Oryzias latipes: one gene and its partners. The protein of the gene in region 1 purifies or fractionates together with the protein of each later gene. This does not show direct contact. Links are inferred from orthologs where the notes say so. Each region holds a gene or a part of one and is shown in the gene's direction. Other genes may lie near its edges. The genes, in order: ap1b1, ap1s1 and ap1m2.

Region 1 (3,658 bases):
CTCAGTTCAGGTAAGGTGGCATGATTAGAGAAAAAGGCGCACAGGCTTCCATCCAGCTGAGCCACTTTCTGCTTTAAGAAAATCCAGACAGATCAGTTTGTTAATAAAGCAGAATTAGAATTTATAGGACTCGTCCTCTTTCATCCTCATTTAAATGTAATAAGTTAGTTTTGCAGAAATGTGAAGGAAACTGAGCAGGAGAGGAATCTGTAATGGCAGCTTAATGGAGAGTTCCAGCAGCAGACTCTATTTTCTCTGCATGAACAAAGAGAGTATTTCACGTCCTGCTGAGGTGTAACCGACTGATGCTGAAGAGAAAGGTTTGTCTCAAATTAGGGCCTGTATCTTAGTTGGAGTTGGTCTTCAGGGTGAAACATCTTTCTTTTTTTTTAGTGGTCTAGCACATTAAAAGACAGTTTCTTCTGACAGCTTTAGGACATGACCAGAGTCTGTGAGGAGCTTGATAGTACATTTTTAAACTAACTGGAGCAGAGCTGTCAAACGCATTTATTTATATATTTATATATTTTCTCGACAGATGCGGTCTCCAACAAACTGCAGGGTAGCAACATCTTCACCATTGCAAAGCGAACGGTGGATGGCCAGGACATGCTCTATCTGTCTGTGAAACTCACCAACGGCATCTGGGTTTTGGCTGAGCTGAGAATCCAAGCTGGAAATCCAAATTACACCGTAAGCATTTGTTGTTGCACATGATCACAGCCGTGCATTTGCTGCTACAGTATGTACCACCCAAAGAAAGAGCTGGTGAGACACAGTGGCACCTTTTTATTGAAAACGGAAAGGCTATTTTAAGAACATCCCACATGCTGTGCACAGATTCTCAAGAAGGAAGTATAAATCTAAAGGGAAGCAGAAAGATTAATCTCACTTCTGGGTTTTTATTTATGGAGCATTAAGATCCAAGCGGGAATCTTTGCAGCCCACCATCTTTTTATAGTTCGGTTTGTTTGTTTTGTCTCCAGTGATGGTGAAAGTCCAAGAATAGAATTCACTGCAGCTTTTTTCCCTTAAGAAATCTGTCTTTGTAAACGTCAGATTTCTTATCAGATTTCATTGTAAACATCATGTAAATGTAAATGCTGCGTGAGCAGAGATTTAACTTATTGGAACAAAAAAAGGTTGTTTTGCCTCAACTGATGCAGTGAAGAGTTTCTCTTTCCTTTACCCATTTCAAGCAGATACTTGCTGGAAAGCTTTTCAAAAATACTCTTGATTTTTTTTTTGTAGCTTGAAAACTTTTAAACACATTATAAAAGTGTGTTTGTGGTTCTAAACAGTAAAAATATTCACGCATCAAGCTCTTAATATACTCGTCTGAATAAGACATGACCAGACGGATCAGAATTTCCTATTTCGTTTCAAAGAAAAGACAAAACTGAAGAAATATGATAAAGCAAAGCAAATATTACAAAAATGCAAAATAAAAACCTTTCAATGTTGAGGATTCTTCTGGTAGGGCAAAAACAATCACAAACAAAACATTATACCGATCTTTTTTGGTAAAAGTGCAAAATATGCCGGTCTGAATTTTACAATTTCAAAATTGTAAAACTAAAATAACATTTTTTGGAAAATATGTCTAGAAAACATCAACTTTTGACTGGAGGAATGGAAGCCTCGTCTTTAGTGATAAACAGGATTGTGACAAATATCTTCCAAACACGATGACAAAGAGGTTTCTCTAGTCTGTAGCTTAGGTCAGGAGTTTACTGGAAGTTTAAGCAGCCAAGACGATCCAAGAACTGCTGGACAAACTCATCAATCCAAAATTACTTATCGGGATTTTTGGTGGATTTACTGACCACCACACAAGGACACAGAAAGAAAAAAATACTCTTGGTGATGTAATGAGTCGTGACCCCAAATTCTTCTCAATCAATACAATCAAGTATTTGCTCAGCTTTTGTGATGATGGTTATGCAGTCTGACTCATCCAGATTCTGAAGAATCTTGATTTGGTTTTCGAGCTTTTAGATTTAACATTTGAAGGATGCAGGCAGGATTCTAAAGAAGCATTTGCAGTTGGAAATGTCTCACATAACAAGCTTGACTTAAATATTCATGAATCGAGCTCTTCTCTGAGGACCTTCACACATTTTTTTCTCTAATTGTCTCACTTCTTTCTTTCCATAAATAGTGTAGAAACATTTGCATCTTCCATTCTGCACTTCCTGCAGAAATGAGTTAAATGAGAGCGCGGGACAGAGCGCTGGCCGTCATCTTTGTATATCATGAATGGAGATGGATGATAAATTCCCATTTGATTGGACAGGCAGACATGACAGAGATTGATGCGCCGTAATGAGTGATGAGCATGCCGAGGCAGGGAGAGCGGCCGGCCGGCCCGTGATTGGAGTGTGTTGGCTCCTGCTGTGTGTGTGTGTTTAGCTGTTTACATGGTATTTTCTGTCCGTTCTGATTTAGCGTGTCTCTGTTTTGTCAGCAAACCGCAGGCCTCACATCTGATGAATTATGTTTGGCTTAAACATGCAGGATGAGCAATCTTGAGCTGTGACCTTGGCGTGACTCCTCTCCCTGTTCATTTCTCTGTCTGCTTTCCCTTCATGTTTTATTTATGAGGTGGCATTAACTGTCTACTTGTTTATCTCTGCTTGTCCATTTGTCACTTATCTGGACCGCACTTATTAAACTTAGAATTTTGATCCTATTTCTTGTCATCAGACAACGTCTAGAACAAAATTGTGTAGTTTTGTTCTGATATGAGGTTTTTCCTTTGGCTGAAAAAATCCCACAACTTTTCAACGTTAAATTTCCAAAATCCAGGCTGCTCTTCGGTGAAGCTGCAGCGGTCCCCCCCAGATTTCACAGATGGATTTAAATCGTACAGTCAAGACAGGACGAGACCTTCACTCATACTGTGCTGCAAGCCCAGAATGCACTTTGGTGCTCGTTCCTCTGAACCGCTGCCTGCTGCATGGTCCCTGCGCTCTGTTGGCACCGAACATGAAAGCCAAGCTGCCAAAGCCTTTTGTCAGCTGCTATTTTTAGAGCTAAAGAAGTAAAGCCCTGCCACTGGCTGTTTGCGGAGCTTGATGGTGTTTCAGAAGATGAGACCCCAAAGTGATCAGCGCTCATGTTCATCAGAGCGTACGGCTTTCTGCACGTTGCAGCAGAAAGCTCCTGCTGTGTTTGCAGAAATTGCAAAACTGGATTCACATTGTTTTACCAAGTAGCCTAAACTACCTTTTAAGAAAACTAAACTTTGCTTCCCCCAAAATATAGCAGTTAAAGGAAGATGAACATTATCTATGGGGTCATTTTTAAATCATTTGCTGTTGACACAAAACTAACAGACCCTGTAAAACATTGGATATTGATTTTTTTTCATTTTTTTTTTCCCCCCATCGGACACCAATGAGACAATTTGACTGCAAAGGGAAAAGACCCCCCCCCCCCCATTTCCAAATGATGCATTTTATTTCAGACTTTTTTCTGTCATTTACGCCTCCGTTGCCAAAGCTCTATCATGGTGGCGAGAGTGAGCTTGAAGGGCGGAGTCACAAGTTGATCAGAAACATCATAAAATAAAACTGATTACAGCAGAGTCAGACAGCAATTCCCTTTATTTTTTTAACTTTTGTCTTTTAATTTCTTCCATTTAAAACATTTTATC
Region 2 (3,658 bases), on another chromosome or scaffold:
ATCTGGATCTAAGATGTACGGCTGGAAAGCTCCAAGATTGCTCGCCATTTTTGTTTAGGCGGGGGGCATGATGGGGCTGAAAGCTAGCGGTATAGAGTGTTACCAAAAGGGATGATGGGAAAGGAAGGTAGGCGTACTCCACGCCAACACTCCTGCCCACAACTCAGAGGCAAATTTCTAATGAACTACTGCCGCTCTGCAGAAACTATGTCCCAGAAAATGACAGCGATTTTTATTTTATTTAATTTATTATGTCTAAAAACAGCATAATTATAACTAAAAGACCACTGGGAATGCTTTGACCAGATCCAAAGATGATCAGAGTGGAACTTTAAGATGTCCACTTGGACTACAGATGTTGGGCTACATGATATGAAGAAAAACCTGTGATTTGCAAAAGTAGTGATCAATATTGCGATGATGATATAACTTGCGATAAATGAACAAAAAGGAAAAAACAACAAAAACATTTCCATTTCACTGCAAAAGTTTAATTTAAATATGAGTCAAAACACCTTAAATTATTCTCCAAATGACCCTCGTCTAATTAGGAGGGAAACATTCAAAATAAAAGCTCCATCCGATTGGTCAACAACATGAAGGGCTCCATCTGATTGGCGAAATGGATAAAGAGATTTATTCAATTCATTAAATAGTTCAAGTTGCCATAAGATTGTTTTAGCACATTTAAGGTTTACCATTTTTTTTTGCGATTTTTGCTGACTTTTGCGATATGGATAATCACAGCTTGAAATCGTCCGGGGGGAATTTTTAATTTTTCGTGATTATATAATTATTATTCGCTATTTTACTTCATTTATTTTGGAGCCGGTTTAGCTCGTGCTGGTTCGCGGCGCCTTCCGTCCGTGAAACCAGGGTTCGACTCCGGGCTGCTCCCTGTTCCCTTCTCTACCCCTGTGCCGGTTCCAAGCCCGGTTTGAGAAGGTTGCGTCAGGAAGGGCATCCGGCGTAAAACATTGCCAAGTTTACCATGCGACTTGTTCGCTGTGGCGACCCCTGATTGGAGCAGCCGAAAGAAGAAGATTTTACTTCATTTATTTTATTTCCCAACTAATAACTCATCCGCAATGATCCAGTATAAACTGAGGGAAATGACTTTAAAAAAAAAAAAAAAAAAACATAACAAACAAAATGGGAAAGTAGTCCGCTCCTGCACTTGATTAGTCAAGCGGTGGACCGAGCGACCGTGTCTCTGAGCAGAGCAGACGGACTTTGTGTTTTTAGGGGAAGGGGTGATGCTTTGTTACGTGTGCGCCATGTGTGGGAGACTTAGGACTGCGATCTGTCCTGCAGCTCTAGGTGAACGAGCTACCGAACTCAGGAGAACCAGGTCTAAAAGTGTGTTTCCGGGCAGAGCTCGGACCGCCAACTCACACAGTGGCTTTGGAGCGGTGTGAGAGCTTTTCAAAGCAGAAATGTCGCTCAGTCCTTAGAAACCATTCAAACAATCACGTGGATTTGTTTCCAGTCGTGTCCCGACAAAATAAAGGCTGATGTTATTCCCAGATATTTACGTGCGGCCAAGATGCAGATTGTGGCGTTTCCCGCATGGATTTTTATTATGGTGTCGACTCGCAGCGTGGCGGGGGGCGTGGCATCACGATGGTGTCTCTCCATAGTGATGTCAGTCAGCCATCACGATGGACGATGGTATCGTACATCGGCACAACCCTAGATGACGATATAACTTGCGATACATGAACAAATAGCAAAACAACCAAAAGCATAATCTCCATTTGACTGAAGCTGTTCTAAAATAATAGTCAACGTAGCTTAAATTATACTCTAAATGGCTCTGGTCTACATAGGGGGCGAGCATCTTACATCAAAGGAGTCCATCCGATTGGTCAATTGCATAAAGGGATTTATTTGATTGGTTAAATACTTCAAGCTGCCATAAGATTGTTTCAGCACATTTCAGCTTAAATGGTTACCATTTAAAGTTTTATGGTCTTCATCTTTTGCGATACGCATCTGGTACAGCCTGATATTGCGATAACAATAAATTTTCTTTTTTCTTTTTTTGTGCACGCTTCCTCCAGCAACAATCTGTTCTTGCTGAGCGACGCTCGTAAGATGTGCATCAAGTTTTATTTTGAACATAATATTTCAATCAATCAGTCAAACTTTATTTATAAAGCACTTTTCCTATAAAAGCACAACACAAAGTGCTTTACATTCAAACAAAACAAAACAACATTTAAAAAAAAGCAGGACAATTAAAATGGAGCCCCCCTCCCCATACCTACAGACAACCCCCAGCCCCTGTCACACCTCCTAGCCCCTAACTTATCTTTGGTTTCTTCATTTGTGAAATCTCCATAAATTATCCCACTTATTGAATTTTTGTCGTCATTTATTTACCTGAATTTTTTCTTCTCTAGAATCTTTTTCTGCTTTTGTCACAATTTGTGTATGAGTTGATGGTGAAAGTTTTTTTTATCGAGCAGTCTACACGACTCTCAACAGTTTCCTGAAAGCTTTTATGTTCTAGAATACTGGATTTCTTGGATGATTCCTTTAACATGAATGTCAGCAGACTTTAGCGATGAATGTCCGATTTAGAGCAGTTCTAGAGTTGAATCAAAACTCCCGTCTAATGGCCGCCTGCGCTGTTGTTGTTGTTGCAGATGCGTTTCATGCTGCTGTTCAGCCGGCAGGGCAAGCTGCGGCTGCAGAAGTGGTACACTGCCACCGCCGAGCGGGACAAGAAGAAGATGGTGCGCGAGCTCATGCAGATCGTGCTGGCGCGCAAACCAAAGATGTGCAGTTTCCTGGAGTGGAAGGACCTCAAGATTGTCTACAAAAGGTGACACGGCCCTGGCTTTTGCACAAACCACACACCGAATGAGCCGACTGACTGTGTGTGGCTCTGGGTTGAGTTTGTGCCGCTGTGCTTGGGGAACAGCAGGACCTAAATGCGGTGACAAAAATGAGGCCCACTCTCGGTCTCCATTAGTCTCTGATCTCTCAGAGGTCACTGTGTGCTTCTCCTGATCTTCATCCGTGTCCTTCAACGGAGAAACCACACCGACTGCTGTTGAGCTGTGTTTTCACGCTGGACTGAAGCGGGTCTCGTTTTAGTCTTCATCCACAGCAAACCGATCAAAAGACAGGAACAGGTTAATTTCCTGTTGACCAACAACTGTTGACCAGTTTATTGCTCCAGAGTTATCATGTTGACAGAGAAGTGTTTGCACACACACATAAAAAACAAATACAGTATTTTCACGACCATAGGGCGCCCCGGATGTTAGGGCGCACCGGATGTTAGGGCGCGGTCTCAGTCACGGGGGATTTTTCCGTCTTTGACACATACAAAAGGCGCACCGGGTGTTAAGGCGCGGGCACGTTAACGCCCCGTTCAGAACCTCAGCGCTTCTAGAGTGGGTTAATAAAACATCCAGTCTCTGTTTTTTGTAGAGAAAATATTTTTATCTTGTTACTGTTCTCCCTAACTGATCACAAACTGAATGGTCGCTCACTTGCAGCGCTCCCTTCCTCCGTACAAGCGCTAAACACACAGCACACACACAGACGCTGCGTGTGCCGTCTCCTTTCTTCCTTTCTATGCGCTAGAAAACGGAGCTGCTTTCAGCACACACACACACACAGAACTGCGCCAGTCTGTCTCTGC
Region 3 (2,735 bases), on another chromosome or scaffold:
GATCTGTCCTGTGATAACACGTGGCACCGTGCACTTCATGTGGATCAAACACAGCAACCTGTACCGTATCCTCATACTCTGCTTTGTACACATTAAAACAACGTTGGCTGCAGAGGAGCTGATAACGTCACCTGACCGTGAACGTGCTGTTGTTAACCAACCTTGACTCAGACTGTGTGCAGTTGTGGCAACCACGAACAAGAACTCAAACGCTTCCCTGGTTTACTCATTTCTTTACAAACTGGTTGAGGTGAGTTAAACTTTGCTTTATCATTTCAACCGGTTTGATAGATTTGCCATCTATCTGCTAAGCAGGTAGAAGTTTACAGAGAAATCTTTGTGTCTACCTAAAACCAAACCTCAGCTGCTCAGAGCACCAACAGATAAAGGATCTGTTTCTGTGATGCAGGTGTTTACGGAGTATTTTAAAGAACTGGAGGAGGAGAGCATTCAGGATAATTTTGTGGTTGTCTATGAGCTTCTGGATGAGCTGATGGACTTTGGATTTCCTCAGACTACTGACAGCAAAATCCTACAGGAGTGAGTGAGACACAGGCGCAGACAAGGCAAATTTAAATACAGCATGTAAGCGATGTTACTCCATAGAACTGAATCTCTTGGCAATTTTTTTCCCCCAGATACATTACTCAGGAGGGGACGAAGTTAGAGGTGGCAAAGACCAAGGTGCCGACCACAGTGACCAATGCCGTCTCCTGGCGGTCAGAAGGCATCAAATACAAGAAGAACGAGGTCTTCATTGATGTCATAGAGTCCATCAATGTACTGGTATGTTAAAGGATGAAGGTCCAGCTCAATTCAGTGCACTTTGAGTTTAAAGAGCAAATTCACATCCAACGCCTTGAGGCAATAGTGTTTCCTCGCTTATTGGGGGGTTTACGTTCTAAAAGTAACCTGTGAAAGGTGAAATCCGCAAAGTAGGATTACAGATGCTGTAAAAGCCTTCACTACACACTTTTCTCAGACATGAACATTTAGACATTTTTCTCTTTGGTTTAAACTCTCAAAGTTCAAACCTTCATAGAAAAATAAGTCCAGTGTCATAGAATGAAAACAAAGATCTGAGCGTGATCAAAGATTTATGTATCTCTGGTAAGCTGTACACATTCTGTACAGGAGACACAGCATGGAGGAGATTGATTGACAAGGTCAACAGCCAATCCAGATGCAGAACACAGTGTACTGTTAAGAAAAAAAGCATGCAAATCTGTTTTATGTCAAGTCCCCACATTTTGTTTCAAACCGTTAATAAATTCTGCAGTTCCTCAAATGACCACTAGAGGCAAGTTTCAGTAGGGAGCAACTCCCATTGACACACATGCTAAAAAAATGTACAACTTTACTACAGAATTCAATTTAAATAAAAGTCTTTTTGTGCTTTTTTTTAAGTAACAGATGGTTGAATCCAACAAAACTTTCATTTTACTTTGCCTTATCTAAGAGATCATTTTAGGAACTTTGTTTGTAGCCGGAATACACACTGATCAATAAACATGGTTGTTATTCTTTAGTCTTTATTTTACCCTTCAGATCCAACAAGTGAGATATATTGTTTTCAGTTTGTATAAGTGACATATTTAAAAAATATATTATTGGGTGATTACGATATGGTTACCTATTTGCCTGCCTCTAGAAAATATTTTACAAGAAGATTGTTTTTTAGGACTATATATCATTTCTACAGCTGCAATTTTTTTGTTGTTGAATTTTTATGTTTATATACCTTTGACTCCTCCCAAAAAGTACCAGAGAGCCTGGAAATATTTGAAACTGTTGAGACATCTCAGAAAAATTACCCTCTATCCACTGCTCTTTTGTTCAGCCGTGCATGCACAGATCAAACCTTTTAAAAGAAATTCTCAGAGGAGACGCTTTCACTATAATCCTTTAGTGATGCCAAACGCTAATCCCAGAGCTGGATCTATGATGCCTGTGCTGCAGCCAGCAATGTGGGCAACATTTCACTGGTTTGGAGAAAACCCAATTCAGTGAAAACAGCAGATTCTGGAAGCAGATTCTGTGGGGCTGCCATTTTTCAAAAGGAGAGTGCTGGTTTGGAAGTTGGAAGATCAGCGGTTGGAGTCTGTGCAGCTTGTCTTTTAAACAATGGTCTGCAGGAGACGCTGTCATCGCTTTGTGATCGTACCAACGTGGTAGACATCAAAAGACCGATGCAAAGATGAGCTGGCCGAGAAGAAAAGAGAAATCAGGCGGTTGAAAAATGGCATCAGATTACAACCTGTTGTCAAAACCTTTAGTGTAAAACTTCAAGGTGACTAAGTCAAAGCTTTTGCTTTGGCTCTTGCAACAGGAAAACCTGAACACAATTTACATTTATTAAAATACCAGAGAAACAAAAAAACCCTTAGTAAAGGGAAACCAAAAAAAAAGCTCTTGTTATTTCCAAAGTGGAGTTACGGACAGAAATAAAATACTTTTTGTTTGTGCTTTTGAAACCATGAACAGCAAAAAATTGAAAAGTCTTATTTACCACTGCACCTTCTAACAATATGATCTGCTATATTTATTACTAAATTAACTTTTTGTAAGAGCAACACAATATTTGATTTGATATTTTTATGTGTGTAGATTTCTCCATTTTGGTATTTGAAAAGACTAAAATAGGTTGTTTTTAACTCTAATTGAGTTCATCATTACTTATTTATTCCTCTTTAAGGTGAATGCCAATGGCAGTGTGATGAGCAGCGACATTGTGG

What was found.
Region 2: the proteins of ap1b1 (region 1) and ap1s1 fractionate together in Homo sapiens (co-fractionation; 6 studies listed by BioGRID and IntAct, with this or other methods). This does not show direct contact. The link is inferred for Oryzias latipes from reciprocal best matches to the Homo sapiens genes AP1B1 and AP1S1.
Region 3: the proteins of ap1b1 (region 1) and ap1m2 purify together in Homo sapiens (affinity purification with mass spectrometry; 3 studies listed by BioGRID and IntAct, counting the BioPlex papers as one, with this or other methods). This does not show direct contact. The link is inferred for Oryzias latipes from reciprocal best matches to the Homo sapiens genes AP1B1 and AP1M2.

What each region holds. Positions count from the first base shown.
Region 1 is NC_019867.2:12,636,019-12,639,676, reverse strand, and holds part of ap1b1 (AP-1 complex subunit beta-1), read left to right. Parts: coding exon 1-10; intron 11-538; coding exon 539-693; intron 694-3,658. UniProt on the Homo sapiens protein: Subunit of clathrin-associated adaptor protein complex 1 that plays a role in protein sorting in the late-Golgi/trans-Golgi network (TGN) and/or endosomes.
Region 2 is NC_019876.2:26,351,152-26,354,809, reverse strand, and holds part of ap1s1 (AP-1 complex subunit sigma-1A), read left to right. Parts: intron 1-2,651; coding exon 2,652-2,830; intron 2,831-3,658. UniProt on the Homo sapiens protein: Subunit of clathrin-associated adaptor protein complex 1 that plays a role in protein sorting in the late-Golgi/trans-Golgi network (TGN) and/or endosomes.
Region 3 is NC_019859.2:10,446,951-10,449,685, reverse strand, and holds part of ap1m2 (AP-1 complex subunit mu-2), read left to right. Parts: coding exon 1-65; intron 66-182; coding exon 183-250; intron 251-409; coding exon 410-540; intron 541-638; coding exon 639-786; intron 787-2,695; coding exon 2,696-2,735. UniProt on the Homo sapiens protein: Subunit of clathrin-associated adaptor protein complex 1 that plays a role in protein sorting in the trans-Golgi network (TGN) and endosomes.